Linked DNA regions of Arabidopsis thaliana. The protein of the gene in region 2 interacts with the protein of the main gene of each other region in a pairwise test. Each region holds a gene or a part of one and is shown on either strand. Other genes may lie near its edges.

Region 1 (4,516 bases), on a different chromosome or scaffold from region 2:
TTCCCATCATAGACATAACATGAACCTTCATCTGGGATTGTCCCAAGACCACTTATAGTTCCAACAAGAAGTCTGGCACCACTTTCATTTCCCGGAGGCGATTCAGTGCCATGATTAGATCCTTCATCTGAATTGAGGAAAACGTGTATAAGATCGTGATCACCCTCAATTTGTTTCTTTTCATGATACCCTTTTGGGGGAACCCTAATGGCTGTAGCAACAACTCTTCCAGATACATGCAGCTGAATATCTTTATACGCATCAGAAACATGGTTTTTACTTCTTGAAGATTGTATATGAGATATCTGAAGACCAATCCTTTCAGCAGACATCATGTCATTGTTGCCTTTCTCAACTGCTTGACCAAGGTCCGAATCCATAAACGACGACAAAGCCAATTTCTTTGAGCAAGCAGAAGAAAGCTCAAGGAAGTTATCAACCAAGGAAACCATACCAAAAAGATCCCGTCCTGATACCAAATGCAAAACCTCTCGTGTATCATACACAGACCTTTCCTCAGCTTCAAAACAATCAGGAAGAAGCTCAACAGATTCAACATCAGGCCCAAAGTAGGCCGCTCGTATAGCTGAATAAAAATCTTCTTCAAGTTCATCTAAGTAACCAGTACCATTTGCTACTCTCTTCTCCAATACTATATCATGTATTGCTTCTCTATACCACTTTAACCATTCAACTACTTCCATCTCTTGACTCAATGTCAATCCTGTTTTATACCTGTGAATCATATAACCTTGTCCCGAGTGCTTCTTCATTACCATTCTCCGAGATAGCAAATATCTATCATAGTGTGCTCTCTTTTCAGAATCTGATAGAATCTGTATCATCACCACAAATCATTCATCAGACACTTCTAAAGCTATAACTCTATCACAAAAGCTTGAAAAGCTTGAAATTTTCGATTTTGAAACTAATCATAAGAGTGAAGAGTGAAGCTTTCTTCATTGTACCTCATAAGCAGCGAGAATCTGAACGAATCGTCTCGAATTTGATGGATCTTTCTTGGATTCGATCAGATCAGGATGAGTCTCCTTGGCGAGTCTGCGAAATGATGCTTTGATCTCTGCGATTGAGCTGGTTTCGGAGACATTCAAGATATCGTAAGCGTTCTCCACCGGAAACTCGTTCCGATTGGACTCAGCCTCGCCGCTCAGCAACCGAGTTCTTCCTTGACTCGGGTTAAAGAGAATTCGCGACGGTTCGAAACCGTAATTCAGTTGAACCGGAACTAATCTACTAAAACGCCGGCGTATCAACCCGGCGAGAATCGTCATTTCACGACCAGTATGGTTTACTCAGGTGGGAACGGAGACCGGAAGTGGAAAGAGGATAACGGCACGCCGATGACACGTGGGTCTCTCGATTTCACGCCACGTCATCACGAGTTCAGACTTTATTGGTCAACAGTAAAAACGGTCTTAGGAAAGAGAGAACATGAAGCCATATTACACTAAATGGGCCTTGAATTTTAATGGGCCAGGATCCTCTCACAGATATTTTTGACTCTTAAAATGATGAGGAAGTGGATGTGAATACGTGGTCGTATACTCACCATGGCATTCCATGAATAATTAATGTCTTCTAACTTCTAAATGATCGAAAAGTACTGACAAGTTAAAGTCAAGCAGAAAAAAACAAATATTATGAGGTTTTTAGATGCTATATTCATTGCAAGTTGTATACATGCGAAATTTAACTAGTGTTGTTAAAATAATAATTATATCAGCTTTTGACTATTTGCTGCCACTCTTTGAATGATTGAAACTAATTTTCTTTCGCATTAATGCATTGTTGAAATTCATGCACAAAATTAAAAATAATTGGTTCATGTATTTGTAACCCAATGTAACAATTTTATTGTTGAACAGAAGTCAGTAACTCCACGTCATGTACTCCATTAAATGTTCCAAAATATTTTGGGCTTGATTCCAAAAAACAAATTATCACGAATAGCGATGTTTGACAATCCAACAAACATGGTTCCATTCACCTTTTTTTGCCACCTGTAAATCGCGATATTTTAAATAATTTATTTCCTCTTCCACAGATACGAATTTTTTTATAAAGAATAATACGTAACACTCTAAAACAACACAAATATCATAATTTCTCCACGAACTGACTAAGAGAGGTACCAAGAAGAAAACCAGAGAAGAATCTTCTTTAGAGAGATGGGTGTGGTAGAAGAAGCTCACAACGTGAAGGTGATTGGTTCAGGAGAAGCCACGATCGTGTTAGGTCACGGGTTCGGCACGGACCAGTCAGTATGGAAACACTTGGTTCCACATCTGGTCGACGATTACCGCGTCGTCCTCTACGACAACATGGGAGCCGGTACGACCAACCCTGACTATTTCGACTTCGATCGTTACTCAAATCTCGAAGGCTACTCTTTCGATTTGATTGCAATCTTGGAAGATCTCAAGATTGAGTCTTGTATCTTTGTTGGCCACTCTGTTTCTGCCATGATTGGTGTCTTGGCTTCTCTTAACCGTCCTGATCTCTTCTCCAAAATCGTCATGATCTCTGCTTCTCCGAGGTATAACTTTTTCACAAGTTGTACATAGAAATATGTTTTGCTTTTTATCTCATCCTGACATAGTTTAGACAAAAGGGCTTCTCTGTTCCTTCTCTTGTCTGATTTCATAAAAACTATTAAACATTACAATTTAAATAAAAAAAAATCATCTTAAGTCCTTAAATTTACACAATTATCTATTATTTCGAAATATTTATTTCTCATTCTGACATAATTTCGACAAAGTGCCTCTTTGTTTATCCTCTTGTCTGAATTATCCTATTTCTCAAAATCAGTGAAGCATTTCATTATATATTTCAATAAAAATCCGTAAATTATGAACAAAAAATCATGAAATACCCATTTGTTTATTTGTTTTTTTTTATTTGGTTTTACTGAGGTGTTACTTACACTTTTTTTAAAAAAAATTGTTGAAACGGTGCTCACACAGTATATTATATATTTTAATTTTCTTCTGACAAAAGAAACATATATAATCAAATTATATTGTTTTGGTACGTTTATAGATACGTAAACGATGTTGATTACCAAGGTGGATTCGAACAAGAAGACTTAAACCAACTATTCGAAGCCATCCGAAGCAACTACAAAGCGTGGTGCTTAGGTTTCGCTCCACTCGCCGTCGGTGGCGACATGGACTCCATCGCCGTTCAAGAATTCAGCAGAACACTCTTCAATATGCGTCCCGACATAGCTCTCTCCGTCGGCCAGACCATTTTCCAAAGTGACATGAGACAGATCTTACCTTTTGTCACTGTTCCGTGTCACATTCTCCAAAGTGTTAAGGACTTAGCTGTACCAGTCGTTGTCTCCGAGTATCTTCACGCCAATCTTGGCTGTGAATCCGTCGTCGAGGTTATTCCTTCTGATGGTCATCTTCCTCAGCTTAGCTCACCAGATTCTGTTATTCCTGTCATCCTCCGTCACATTCGTAATGACATTGCTATGTGATTGTAAGAGATTTAATTAGTTAATTATTAAACGATGTAAGAAAAGTTGAAAAAAAATATCTGATGTGATATGTCTGTCTAGTCTATTGAGAACATTATTTCGTTGTCGTTTGGTTCTGATTCGTTTATCTTGAGTATCTTGATCTTTGTTGTTCTTATCTTGTTTAACGAAAAGTCTCTGTCTTTTGTCCACAGCTTTGCTCAGAGCTCATTATTGCTTGATGTAATAGTGATGTTCGTAATTGATGGTCCATAGTGAATTATTGCAACTTTGCAAGAGTGCTTGTGCTATACTGTGTGAAGAGTAATTAACATGTGATACTAGGAATTAGCATTGAGTTTGCATTTATGGATGGGTAATCCAAACCATAAAACATACATATTGTGATGGTTTTGAAATTTGTTTGTTTGTGAACAAAAATTAGCCAAGTTTTAAACAAAGTAAAATGAAAATTTAGGGTTTTGAATTAGGATGGAGTTAAGTCATATTTTGTTAGGTTTGTTTGCTTATGAAATTATGGATTTGTTTGATGTTATTATAGGGATGCGGTGCAAAAGATATTGTTTTCTATATTATCATTTATCACTAATAACTTTCAAATTTTATTGACGCGCCTGCTCAGATTTTATTCGATTTGTTGTTTATGAAATTAGTTATAGATTGGTAAGTAAATAGCTTTAAAAAATTAGTGATACAAAACAAAATGGTAAATATTGTATTGCTTCTTACTAGTCAATACTATGATTAAACTTCCATTTTATAATTCACTTTATATAAAACTTCTATTTATTTTCTTAAAATTATTTTATTATTGAAATTTAAATATCATTTGGTACAATATTATTTCTTCATCACTAGTCAAATACTATGATTAGCCTACCCAAAAAAAAAGTCAAATACTATGATTAAACTTCCATTTTTTTAAAATTCATTGCAGGTCATACAATTTAAATGTTTACATAGTCATGAAAGAATTGAGAACATATATATACTTCAAATTTGTTCTCC
Region 2 (5,467 bases):
TTCTATCTTGTAGTCGATGAGCCTAGACCGAGAGGAGATAGCAGTGGTGGTGGTGGATTTGGAAGGGGCAATGGTCGTTTCGGTAGTGGTGGTGGCAGAGGAAGAGATGGAGGTCGTGGTCGTTTTGGTAGTGGTGGTGGCAGAGGAAGAGATGGAGGTCGTGGTCGTTTTGGTAGTGGTGGTGGCAGGGGAAGTGATCGTGGTCGTGGAAGACCTAGTTTTACTCCCCAAGGTTAGATAAATTGTTCTTGATTCATGTTTTCTAGCTTCTTTATAACAAGTTAACATGTCACTAATTCTTGGGTTTATGTTGGCTTTGCAATATATGTTGCAGGTAAGAAGACTACCTTCGGTGACGAGTAGAAGCGTCTGTAGAAGAAAAGTCTCTTCTTATGTTGTTAACTTATGATACTTCGCATCCTTTTATTGTTTCGTTTCTTTTTTGTTCTAGTTAAGTTTCTGTCAGAACCTTAAATTTTTGTCTGAATGTTAAGTTAAGCTCAATTTTGAGTGCTTTGGGTGTTCAATCATTGTTATCTTCGTCTATCATTACTTATTTTACCTAAGTATGGGCCATATGAATAGGTAGACAAAAAAGCATTCTCTACCAAGGGTCACAAATTTACATTTCTCATATTTAGGCTCAACTTGGTTGGCTATGTTCACATCTTTCACTCATAATAAGCATAAACAAAAAGATTGAAGAAAGTGTTGTTTTCTCACTAGTTGTAACTCAAAACTGAGACTTTAGCTTGAGGGCCACCTTGTACATAGACAAAATCATAAGCTTGTCCTGCTCTCAAAGTCTTTTGCCATTGAGGAAGCTGGTAAGTATACTTCTGTCCCGTTGGGTTTAAACCCCAGATAGGTCCTGAGAGATCTTCAATCTTAAGCTTGAGATCTGATATTGGTTTTTGAGAATTGTTTTTGATGATCACTTTGTGCCTATAGTATCTTGTGTTCCCGGCTATCCAGTTGCTAGTTATGGAATGAAGAAACTCGATTTGTGCACCTGATTGCTTTGGACTGTATGTTGTTGGTGTTGCTTTGTAAGATGAAGCTGTGACAGTTTTAGAGGAAATGAGAATCAGACACTGTAGAAAAAGTTGCATTGGAAGCTGCAAGTAAAAAAGATCAAACCTGCTGGTTTTGTAGTTTCATAAGGTTTATATGATCCTCCTCCATAAGATCCTACAAAATGTTCATTACATTACTTTATGATTCCATAAGGGTAAAGCTAAAGACTTTGAGCTCAAGGTTTATTGTTTAGTTACCTAAACTTCCTCCATAGAGTTTAGCGAATAGGCCAACAAGTGGAGCTGTTCCTGACAATGTTGGTTCTGATTGCTCGTAATTTGAGCGGTCATCGGAATAGTTATCATTCTCGTCAGGTCCACCAACAAGAGCTCCATAAATAACATTAGGATCACCCTGAGACCTTCTATACCAAGAGTCAAATCCTTGTACACAACTCACAGAAGAACGTTGAGCAAATATTGAAGGGATTGAAGAGCCTCTATGATGAACACGGATTGGATATTTCGGTCCATATCCAACTACATAACTCATTCCTTGACGGTTCTTTCCAAGAATGTAATCAGCCTGCAAAGGAAAACCTCGGTTACCGGATTGAAAAGAACGAGAAAAATTTTCGGTTTCTTGGGAGGATTTGATCATTACCTGAGATCTAGCAAAGTCAAGAAGCCCCTGAGGTTGCACCAAACCATCAGGGCAGTTGAGTTTAGCATTTGCTGCAGAGAGATAATCTGAATAAACCGCGAGAAGATACGCAGCCGCGGATGCATATTGCAGATTGTTCCACTCTCTAACATACATTAAACCACCAGGAGTTGTTTGAATGTTGTAGCCACCATTCTTCTTGAGGCAAGCACAAGCGAAGTAGTCAGCTTTGGTTTGATATTGCTTCAATGTCGAAGTATATATACCGCCTTTCCCTTCTAACAAGATCTATACACACACAAATCAAACAAGTACCATGATTAGTAGTATTTTTGAAACCGTGAAGAACATTCTTTAACAAAACTATAGTTTACCTTGGAGAGAAGGATTTGAACACCGGCGTATTTGTTATCCCAAGAGAACTCTTTCACCCCCCAGCCAGTTCCTCCCATGTAACCGGAATTGTCCATAGCATACTTCAAGTAATACTGATCCCCGGTGGCGCGGTGTAGCCAAGCTGCAGCCCAAAGAAGCTCATCCTTCAAAGAAATACACAAGAGAGACATTTTAGTAGTGGAACAAGATTCAATGGAAGGATTAGAGAATGAAAGTGTTGAGAGAATATATATACCGAGTAACCAGATGACATGTAGAAAGCTTTTGCATTTGGGATAGAATTTGTGTATAGTCCTCTGTACTTGTCAGCAAATGAGAAGAGCTAAAATATACAAAAACAAAGTTTCAAAAATGTTGAGAATCTAAACCGAACCGGATTCATAAACCAAAGTAAGAGGAGTTGAACAAAAAACAAACGAACCTCTTTGGCATGAGATAAGAGAAGAGCAGAGTAAGAGGAGTTAAATGGCTTGAAAGCCAAGGAAGCAGCGGCTAAAGCAGCAGCGGTTTCACCGGCTAGGTCCGAGCCAGGGTGGTACGGGTCAAGCTTATAAGCTGTTCTTGAAGTGGTCATGTCCTCGGGACGTTCCCAACAGTAATGGTCTGATTCTCCATCTCCAACTTGACCCCATAGAACATTTGGTTGAGGATGAGCCTTGATGAAGTAATCAGTACCCCATCTGATTGACCATAATGTCTGTTGCATCTGGTTCGAACTGGATAGCTCTTTCCGGTTATCAACCGCTGCCCACGATAGCATCGTCACTGCGAAAGCCATTGGTAAACCGAATTTCACATGGTCTCCAGCATCATAATATCCTCCCTCCAGGCTCACCTATTCATTCATACATACACAAACCTCAATATCATTTTATTACTTCATATATTTTCTTTATTGGAATTAGTACGTCAAGGTTTCATACAAATTAAATCTTTGTACTGATGACAAGTGACAACAATACCTTGTAGATTTAAGGTTTTAAAAAAATATTGTATGCCAGTAAGTGTTATTTTTTCCAAACAACAAGTTTTCTGTTTGAACCTATAGATGGTGATACAAGAACAGAACCAATACAAACCACACTAGCCAACATGTTCTAGTTGAAGAAGTGGTAATTTTGGTACTAGTTTTGCAATTCATACGATGGTATTTATCAGGAAGTATCAATTTTGGAATGTATTAAGAGATCCATTGTATTAACCAACTATACTGCAAGCATTGTGTGTATATGGACTTACTCCTTGAGCAAGACCATCCTTGAGACCAGAAGGGCCACGCCATTTGACACGTTGAGCAGCTGGCAACTTCCCTGATCGTTGAGCCTCAAAGAACAAGAAGGTCTTATCAAGAGCACTTCCGTAGTTATAGTACTCCGCTGCCGCGGTTGCTGCCGCTAGAAGAACGGACAGCAATAGGCTTACGCCGAACAATGATCCACCAAACTTCCTCATTTCTCTATGTCAATCTAAGTTCTAAGTTTTCTCTCCAAAGAAATTTTCTTTGTTCAAAATTGTGAATCTATGATGTGAGTTAGTATAGACGTGGGTGTATTTATATAGACATGTTGAGAAAGAGAGAGAGATTGTGTATGTGAGTTTGGTGTGTGAGAGAGAGGAATGTAGAGAATCAAATAGGTACGAAACTTGTCTGAATAATCATTGTCTTTGTCTTTTTTTGTGTTCGTGTGTTTTATGTGCCTTTGATAATAGTTGTGGCCTTCACGTTTTGTTAGAGCTTCTCACGTTGTTCCTCGAGACTTTTGTGTATAAAAGCTGAATCAACTATGCCTCACCACGTGTATACCTCTTATTCGCCGTTGGATGGAAGCGTTATTGACTAATGCATTTGATAGAAACAGATGAATGTATCTTGTTTTAAAATTTTAAAAATGGTACAAAGAATAATATTTGGTTGATTTTTGATAAGGTGTGAACGGACAAGTAATCCATTCGTGGTATCCACTTCTTGCAAAAAAAATTCATTTGTCGCTCGATTGATTTGTGTTCTGATATGTCCATAAGACCATAACTTATAGTTTTCTTTTGTCGGTTTATTTTAACAGAAAGTCCATGTATAGGTAAACTAGGTTCGGGCGATTAGACCGGACTACAAACTATGTATTTTGATGCATCACTTGATCATGTTTTGACAATGTTTTTATAGCTAGAGCAAAATGCTAATTGGAAATTTTATAAGGTTATAGGGTTGACCCAATCTCGGTTGAATGAGTTATAAATTTCATAATTTGTTATAAAAATTTATATAACAAAATAATTTCGTGTTCCATTATTGGATTTGATTCTTTGAGTAGGGTTATTGAATTTCTAAAAAAAATATTAGATGTTTCTAAAAAGTGTATATTTAGAAAATTTGTCAAAATATTTGATTTTGTTTTGTTATAGAAAATTGAAAGTTGTTTGTTTATAATTAGATAAAGGTAAAAAACATTGTATTTCAATAAACCTAGAATTTAATAGAATTAAAATGGATACTAAACTTATAAAATAAGACATGAGTTCAATTATTTTAAAGCTCTGAAGTGACCAAAAACCAAAATCAAATCAACCTATCAAATGAATAAAAAAACCTTAAATAAACTAAGCAACAAAACCTAAACCGGAATAAAACTCGACGGCTGAACCGCCATAACCGAGTGGTATTGTTTTCCATACTACACAAGACTAAAAACCGTAATAACCAGAATCGAAATTGTAACTAAACCGGCACCTAAGAACCGACTCGTTTTCCTCACGGCGTGGTTTTTCTTGTGAGCTGAAGCGGGTAGAGACGAGGAAGGTGGAGGAGATTGCGGCGTAGATTCCACCTCCATGACTTTAATAATCATTTTCTGACCTTGTTCACAGTGGCCTGAGACACCACTAATGAAATAAAACAAACCGGGACGGTCCAATTTGAAAACCGTATCATCGTGGTTGGAGTAAAGTTCCGGTTTGGTCGTCTGACATTTCTTGTATTCGTCTTCTGTTACCACCAAAACAGAGTCTTTCTTGTACTTGAAACCTTTCCACCAAATCAAAACAAAACTCAATATATGCATTACGATGATCATAAATTCATAATAGAAGCAAAAGAAAAACTTACGGATAGTGTCGCCAACTTTAAACCGGTTCTTGGAAGCCCATTGGTTAAAGATGTCACTTTGGTTACTAGATTGTGGAATGATCCAACCATTTTCTCCTCCAGCTTCAAATTCAGTACATGACACAAGTGAAAACACGTAAAAACATACGAAGATCGAAAGCAGAACAATCTTTTGTCCACCCATTTGAATCCTCTTTTGTTTAATTTCTGATATCGAGGGATTGTTCTCGAAGAAAATGTTTAGTTTTTCTGCTTTGTGGTGCTTAAGGTTTGAATTTAAGTAGTGTG

What was found.
Region 1: the proteins of GH9C1 (region 2) and KAI2 interact in binary tests that used the Arabidopsis thaliana proteins (3 or more experiments, as listed by UniProt).

The regions. Positions count from the first base shown.
Region 1 is NC_003075.7:17,616,037-17,620,552, reverse strand, and holds KAI2 (alpha/beta-Hydrolases superfamily protein), read left to right. Parts: upstream 1-1,896; 5' UTR 1,897-2,189; coding exon 2,190-2,557; intron 2,558-3,063; coding exon 3,064-3,508; 3' UTR 3,509-3,894; downstream 3,895-4,516. Other genes in the region: AT4G37480 (Chaperone DnaJ-domain superfamily protein), read right to left, coding at 1-836, 969-1,292.
Region 2 is NC_003070.9:18,101,060-18,106,526, forward strand, and holds GH9C1 (glycosyl hydrolase 9C1), read right to left. Parts: upstream 3,710-5,467; 5' UTR 3,529-3,709; coding exon 3,316-3,528; intron 2,912-3,315; coding exon 2,498-2,911; intron 2,399-2,497; coding exon 2,312-2,398; intron 2,220-2,311; coding exon 2,055-2,219; intron 1,969-2,054; coding exon 1,681-1,968; intron 1,603-1,680; coding exon 1,275-1,602; intron 1,192-1,274; coding exon 1,141-1,191; intron 1,061-1,140; coding exon 723-1,060; 3' UTR 584-722; downstream 1-583. Other genes in the region: NUC-L1 (nucleolin like 1), read left to right, coding at 1-232, 335-363; ENODL6 (early nodulin-like protein 6), read right to left, coding at 4,749-5,098, 5,180-5,363.